Linked DNA regions of Astyanax mexicanus. Each later gene encodes a partner of the first gene's protein in a complex. Links are inferred from orthologs where the notes say so. Each region holds a gene or a part of one and is shown on either strand. Other genes may lie near its edges.

Evidence for each region. Proteins that work in one complex are often made in the same cells at the same time.
Region 2: the proteins of pdcl3 (region 1) and cct4 are in contact, whole or in part, in a cryo-EM structure (PDB 8I9Q), measured with the Homo sapiens proteins. The link is inferred for Astyanax mexicanus from reciprocal best matches to the Homo sapiens genes PDCL3 and CCT4. Residues at the interface, in NP_076970.1 of Homo sapiens: Ala70, Ile71, Tyr74, Arg75, Arg78, Leu79, Trp82, Lys86; in NP_006421.2 of Homo sapiens: Val266, Gln271, Met272, Leu276, Glu279, Arg280, Leu312, His315.

The regions. Positions count from the first base shown.
Region 1 is NC_064418.1:366,161-369,915, reverse strand, and holds the start of pdcl3 (phosducin-like protein 3), read right to left. Parts: upstream 2,789-3,755; 5' UTR 2,522-2,788; coding exon 2,516-2,521; intron 1,615-2,515; coding exon 1,497-1,614; intron 1,413-1,496; coding exon 1,322-1,412; intron 1,229-1,321; coding exon 1,085-1,228; intron 189-1,084; coding exon 1-188. UniProt on the Homo sapiens protein: Acts as a chaperone for the angiogenic VEGF receptor KDR/VEGFR2, increasing its abundance by inhibiting its ubiquitination and degradation.
Region 2 is NC_064428.1:33,705,850-33,709,604, reverse strand, and holds the start of cct4 (T-complex protein 1 subunit delta), read right to left. Parts: upstream 2,717-3,755; 5' UTR 2,527-2,716; coding exon 2,418-2,526; intron 594-2,417; coding exon 541-593; intron 332-540; coding exon 242-331; intron 1-241. UniProt on the Homo sapiens protein: Component of the chaperonin-containing T-complex (TRiC), a molecular chaperone complex that assists the folding of actin, tubulin and other proteins upon ATP hydrolysis.

The sequences.
Region 1 (3,755 bases):
CTCCAAAAACGAGAGGACCGATAAACTGAGCCTTCATCTCTCCCTCGTGATAAACGAAGATTGTGGGAAGGTTCCTGTCGGGGTAGTTGGGGATGCAGGTGGTGGAGATGGACTTCAGGAACTTTGTCTGTGGGAATTTTCGCGCCAGCTCTGATAAATGCTGGTTTATGAGTGTGCAGAGGGGGATGCTGAGGAGGAAATATATATATATATATATATATATATAAATTATACTATTATTAATTCATATGATTCACAGAGGAATAAAAGTGAAGACAAGATACAGACAGATCAATAAGTTATATATCAGTTTAAGTGCCCTCTGCACTGCAATGTTTTAAAATGTGGGACTATAATGTGGTATATAATTATACAGGATGAATCAGATCATACCTATATTGCTTTGTGCTAATTTTATTTAAAATATAATTATTCTGGAAACAACCATAACCATAGACTAGTATATTTTTTTACAAATAAAAACTATTGTGTTGTTTTTGTTTTTTTAGAAAGTAGCTAAATATGTATACGTATGTATATTTGTACATTTCTGTGGGCATCATGGAACTCACATGTTAATCTCATATTTAATTTACTTGTACAACATAGAAATACAGAAGTGTTTAAACAGTTTCCATAAGAAATATTATTATAGAATTTTTCAGACTATAAGAAGCAATTAAAATCCTTTAATTTCCCAAAAATCACCACTACATATTATAATCCGGTGCTCCTTATGTATGAATTCTATCAGTCAGGTATTAAGGAGCAGTAAAGACACTCCACTGAAGTACAGAGTTATACAGGTGAGTTTTAGTGAAGTTTCTCCAGCACTAAGGCTAGAGCAGTATTAGCATTAACTGCTAACAGCAGTGCTAGCACTTTCGCCGTTCAGAGGTGAGTATATTGGACTGTAGTCTGTGTTTTTACTGTGTTAAAACAAACCTGCTTTTGTTCTTGGGTTGATTTCACAAATATTTGGTAAAGATTTGATATTATAACGAATATCTTTGTCCTCTAGGCAAGACTATGCAGGACACTGTGTTTTAAACCAACTGGTGTATTGGGTTAAACCCAAACTTACCCTGGTTTATAGAGGTGCAGCACCACCCAAATCCCACTGCCAGCTTTATTCACCTCCTGAATGTAATCCTGTCCAGAAATCTCGTTCACTTCCCCGAACACGTTCTTTATCTGGTTAGCTTTCCACTCTGCAAGTCTTTTCTGCCTAAAAAACACAAAACAAAGCATAAGAAGACACACTCAAACAGAAACACCAACATGATTCACTAACGCTTTATTTACTCCTGACTAAACTCACCTGTACATTTCAATAGCAGCCTCGTCTTCCTCACTGAACTCGTCCTCATTCTCCTCCAGCTCGTCCAGAGTCATGCTCTCATAGGTCTTTACTGCACAGAACCACAGAACTGTCAGATACAGTTTTAATAAGAAAAACATTCAATCTTTTCAGATTCATCACTGAAGACTCTTACCAATAGACTGCTGCTGAATAATCTGCTCCTCTTCCTCATCCTCCTTCGGCTTCTCTTTAGGGGGAAGGATTCCTTTTCTCCGGAGAATATCATTCCACTCAGTGTCTTCATTTGGGTCCTAAAATTAAAGCCAGTCACACACAGAGTGACATTACCTTAAAACCATCCACTTAAGTTTAGTGCAAACTTTAATTCTTATTATTAATTTTTTGGGAAAAAAATCAAGTCAAAAAATAATTGAATGCCAAGATTCTTGTCGTGGTTGTACTAGTTACAAAAATAATAGTAAGAATTTAAATATATATATATATCACAATATACTTTTAACATAGAGCTAGATAATATAGCCAAACATTAATATAACAATACAGTCGTTAATACTTGTTTTTCATTGGACGGAAATGATATATGTTTTCATACAGTGAATTTTACTCAATCTGCACAGCATCCAATATTTTTTATCCGATATTTTCGACATGCTTATTAGAACATATTATCGATACGGTAAGAAAATGTATCATGATACAATAAAATATTGATATATCGTCCAGCTCTAGGTTTACATAATATCCAAAAAATACAGACCTCATTTTTTAAACAAAAAAACAATCTAGCTACATAAAATATTTTTTTTAAATAAATGAATTAACAATTAAAAAGGATTGTGAAGTCTTTTAACTCCCAACCCTTTAAGCGATATAGTTCATTTTTAACTAAAAATAAAAACTTCCAAAAATAAACGAAGCTAAAGTTAGCTTCGCAATCGAATTCTTCATTCCACCTTAAATAGTGAGGCTCTCGTATTCCCTGCGCTTCAGCGATAGCGGTCAGTAAGTAAGAGTTTTAAGGTGGAACTGACAATTCCGTGTCTGGTCTAAAATAACCCGTGAACTCCGGGAATAAATGGCTGTTTTTCAGCGCCGGATCGGCGACAAACGGAATCAAATCGCTTATTTAACAGCTACATTTAAACACAATCAAACACATTGATGAGAAAAGCGATTAGTTTAAGGACAAACCTGCATTTTGTAAGTTTTAAGGTGGAGTTCCTCTCAGATCCGGAGCTCTGTCTCACAGCGCGGAGCACAGTGAGCCGCACTGATCCCTGACCGGCTGGAAACAAACCCGAAAAAAATCCTGCCGGTTTTACAGCAGTTCAAACTGTTCCCCGGTCAGCTTGTGTTTTATATAAATATATAAATATAAATATAAAAATTATTTAGAGGAATAATGCGCGCGGTCAGTCCGCTGACAGGATTTAAAAACGCTGAACTCTGAGGTGTGACTCAGAGGGACTGTATTGCGGGTGGCACCGGTTCAGTATGACCAAATAAGGTAAGGGAATGTACCATGTGTTTGGGGAGGGTTAGTGGTGAAGAGAGGGGGGGTATCCTGGAGAGACATTTGGGGACAGTAGCAGGTGGGACATGTGTTCTGTAAGGGTTAGTGGTGAAGGGAGGTGGGACATGTCTCCAGCCCCTGCTGTCACTCAGGGTGGGACACTGACACAATAATATGCCAGCTAATAGCGTTTAATAGTTAAAGGAGTGTATACATGGATGGATAAATGGATGGGTGGATGGATAGATAGATAGATTTGAGTTAAAATACACATTTTAGTTGTGTCCCTTGGTTTCAATCAGTCCTGTTACCGAAACACATTACCCTACCTGAAGACTTTTTTGAGAGAAAATAAAAGGAAATAGTAGAATTGCTTTTAAACATGCTTTTTTTAAAATGTCACATGAGTTTTGTAAACTTCTTTGGTTTAGAAACCTTGTAAAAAAATAAACAAATCTGCCCGAGCTTGACCAGTACATTTTTGAATAGTTATGGGCATGTGTAATTATAGTTGACAAAAGTAAAAAAAAAAGGTTATTTTGGAAGAGTTACAACAAGCAAATTGCACTAATTCGGTCGAATGCCCCAATCGTTTGCTGTAAAAAAAGAAAAAGAAAAAGAAATATACAGGTAGGTTTCCTTCGCTTTTTTAGCAAAATGTTTAATTATACTCTCTAAAATTAAAGGATTTTTATTAGTAGTTTAACACTATTTTAATTGGAGTTTTATTACGGATTAGTACTCGATGGCTCCCTCTAGCGGTTTGCGGTTGTTTTATGATAAGGCGGGAGATAAAAGGAGAGATAAAAGGGAGATAAAATTTTGCAAAACACCGCAAAACTTGTCCGCTTCCTAACGTTCTATGGTTGCCTTGGTGAAGTGATCGACTCCACCGCGAGCCAATGAGCGGGCTCATAG
Region 2 (3,755 bases), on another chromosome or scaffold:
GTGTAAATTTACTGATTTTAAATCTACTTAAAGTATAAAAGTAAAAGCAATGCAAGGAGAAAAAAAAGAACAAAAGCTTAGGCCACGCCCACAGAGTCCTATAGTGCACTACGAGCTGAAATGAAATAGGAATAACGAGGCTGTTTTTAAAATGTAAGGAGTGGAAAGTTCAAATAATTGTGTGAAAATGTAAGAAGTAGAAGTAAAAAATAAATAAATAAAAAACCTCTTTATATCTCACCATTTTGGCAGCAGGGTGCAGCACCTGCATCTGTTTCAGGATGGTGGCTCCATCATTAGTGATGGTCACATCTCCTTTACCATCCTGGATCTGAAGAACAAAACAGTTATTTCATAAACAGAGTGATAGAAAACCAACCATGACTCAGCAAACTGATCCATCTCCACACTGTATAAAACACACGCATTTCTGAGCCGCTACACACATTTAAAACCAGCCTTCAGACTGACTGACTGACTGACAGGAAGCTCAGGGTGAGGATTTAGAAACAGGGAAGTGAAGAGAGAAGAATGACGTACCATTTTGTCCATACCCTTCGGCCCAAGACTGGTTCTGATGGCATCGGCGACAGCTGCCAATCAAAAACAGGACAGTCGTTATTGAGTTTAGCAGCTCTTAATTAATAATGATGCCTGGAGATACACTGATGTGACAAGTACATGTATATATCAAGAAATATACATATTTATAAATAATAATTAATCATAATTTTAAAATGAGCCAGCGTCTGCCAATTGTAGAAGAGTGGCCAGTGTTGATTGGTCATTTTCAGGCATACCATAAATACATCAGCAAGTATATATATATAAACACTAAAAAAAGGAAAATCATTGGTTGATACCAATATGATTCTGCAATCACTCTGCATACCTAATAATGTCTTTCTTTGTTAGAAGAGGTGAGAATGGATCACAGTAAGAGCTGAATGCATCTTCAGTCATGTTTTAAACTGTCAGTCCAAGTCCAATTCATTGAATTTATTCTACACTGTATCCAGATCAAGTCTGAACAGCCTATGAAATTAAAACCAAATTTGTATGTGATTTAATATTAAAATACAATATGATCTGAACAGGTAGGATAGCTATATAACACAAAAGGAAATACCAGACCATCAAGACCATCATCGTAAAAAAAACAAAAAAAACAATATATATATATATATATATATATATATAGTAGGACTGATTATATACATATATATATTGTATAACGATATTAGGATACCCTGAAATATTGTGCCATATCACCCACTCCTAATGATCACATCTATCACATCCTGGATATATGGAGATGACCTTTTGGATCATTTATCTCTTTTTTTTTTTTTTTTTTTAATATCTCCGTTAGAGGTGTGCCATATTATATTGTATGGAGTAATAAAATTAAATTTTTATTTTGTTGCAGTAGTGTTGGTTTAAAATATTTAGTCTTTTCATATCAAAAAGAACATCGTTATCATAAAATAATATTTATATTACTTTAGAGCCGTATCGCACACCCACACTAAAACACTTACTAAGGCACTGTGCAGCCTATATCTCACGAATAATTTAAACTGAAAACCTCTGGAATATAATCAGGCCATCAAACCAAACTGAACTGCTTGAATTTTTGCACCAGATGTGAATAGCATAAAGTTATCCAAAAGCAGTGTGTAAGACTGATGGAGGAGAACATGATGCGAAGATGCATAAAAAGTGTGATTAAAAACCAGGATTATTCCACCAAATATTGATTTCTGAACTCTTAAAACTTTATGAATACGAACTTATAATGCAAAGAAAACTTGAGGTCTTTTTTGTTATTTCAGCCATTTCTCATTATCTGCAAATAAAGGCACTACATGACAATATTTTTATTTAGAATTTGGGAGAAATGTTGTCTGAAGTTTATAAAATAAAACAACAATGTTCATTTTACTCACAGATAAACCTATAAATAGCAAAACCAGAGAAACTGATTCAGAACCTGAAGTGGTCTCTTATTTTTTTTCTAGAGCTGTATTTACTGTATTTGATGATTTCTAGCTGCTGAACTGTTGCTGCTGCAGGATCAGCCCATGTGAACAAAGAGGAGCTGACAGGAGCAACTTAAGGTGGTTTTAAGGGGGTATTGTGACGTCACAAAGACCCACGCATCTAAACCCATGCTGGGGTGGGGTCCCTACCTATTCTACAGTTACATAATCCCAATAACTGACCAGCAGCACACAAATACCACCTTAAATGGTGATCTGTTTTAAGGTGGAGCAGCTCCAGCTCCACACTGCAGCGGGTATTAAAGCGTGTTTTAAGCAGTAAACCGGGCGGAACCGGGGGGTAAACCGGGCGGAACCGGGGGGTAAACGAGAGCTGGCGGGTTCCTGCGGGTCTGCGCGGTTCCGTGGACCCACCTTTCCCGGCGCTGATGTTGCTGTAGCGGATCTGAGCGGGTTTATCCCGGTCCACATACGCCCCTCTGCCGGCTCCTCCTTTCCCCTTCGGCGCCGCTGCTTCAGGCATTTCCCCGCGGATATATCTCTCGGTCCGGGTGCGGGAGGGTCTCGGGAACGGTACCGGGCTGTCTGCGGGTCTCGGTTCCGCGGATTCGGGTCGGATGAACGCAGATTCTGGACGATTCCGAAACCAAGCAGAACCTTCCAGAAACACCGGCGCTCGCGGAGACAGAAAGGACCCCAGAGAGAGCGTGCAGATGATGTAGAGGGGTGTCTCACACAGATGCCTGTCTAGAAAAGGGGGCGCGTTCCAATCCGCGCACAAGCGGCCTAAACACCTGTGCACTAGATATGTTTTTTTTAAAGGACTGTACAGCTCTGAAAAACATTAAGAGAACACTTCAGTTTCTAAATCAATTTATCTGATTTTGCTATTTATAGGTTTATGTTTAAGTAAAATTAACATTATTGTTTTATTCTATAAACTACAAACAACATTTCTCCGAAATTCCAAATAAAAAAAATATATATATATCATGGTCTATATTCATTATCTCATGATCTTAAAAATGTAATTTAATTACTATACATTGATGTTCATGCAAGAAAACATGAGACCAAATACAAACAAAGAAAAAACATACTCAGTTGTTTCAAAATCTGTTATTTTTTATTTTTAATAAATTAATTTTAATAAATTAATAAATAAAAAATATATAAATTGTTTAACGTTTTTTATTTAACTAATACATTTTATTTTATTTATTATTTTATTTATTTATTTTTAATAGCAAGTGAATAGCATTCATTGACAGAGACTTTCATTTCTAGTGGACTTGATTGTAAGGGTTTGGAACGCGCCCACAATGGCGGCCCGCACTCTTTACACGAGCTAAGTGTTCTAAACACACACTAGCACAGTGAAGTGCACCCTCCTCACCTAGTGCAGCTCTTTATGATGCAGACAGTAGCGTTATACAGTTTATAGTGTTTATAGGTTAACAGGAGTATTGTGGAGTAATATCACTGGTTACCTGAGCAGGTGAGTGTATATAATCTGCAGTATGATGCAGTGTGTTTGTGTGTATGGATGCTCTTCACTGAATGAATGGATCCACTGCAGTTCTGCAACCAGGATAAAAAATACAGGGGAGGAGTCGTTTTATCCAGAGCAAAAAGGTTTACTGTCACATTTGTTATTTTAAAATGTTCTGCATTGTAGATTAATACTAAAGTCATCACAACTATGAAGAAAAACGTTTATTATTATACAATATTTAATACGCAAAAAAATGA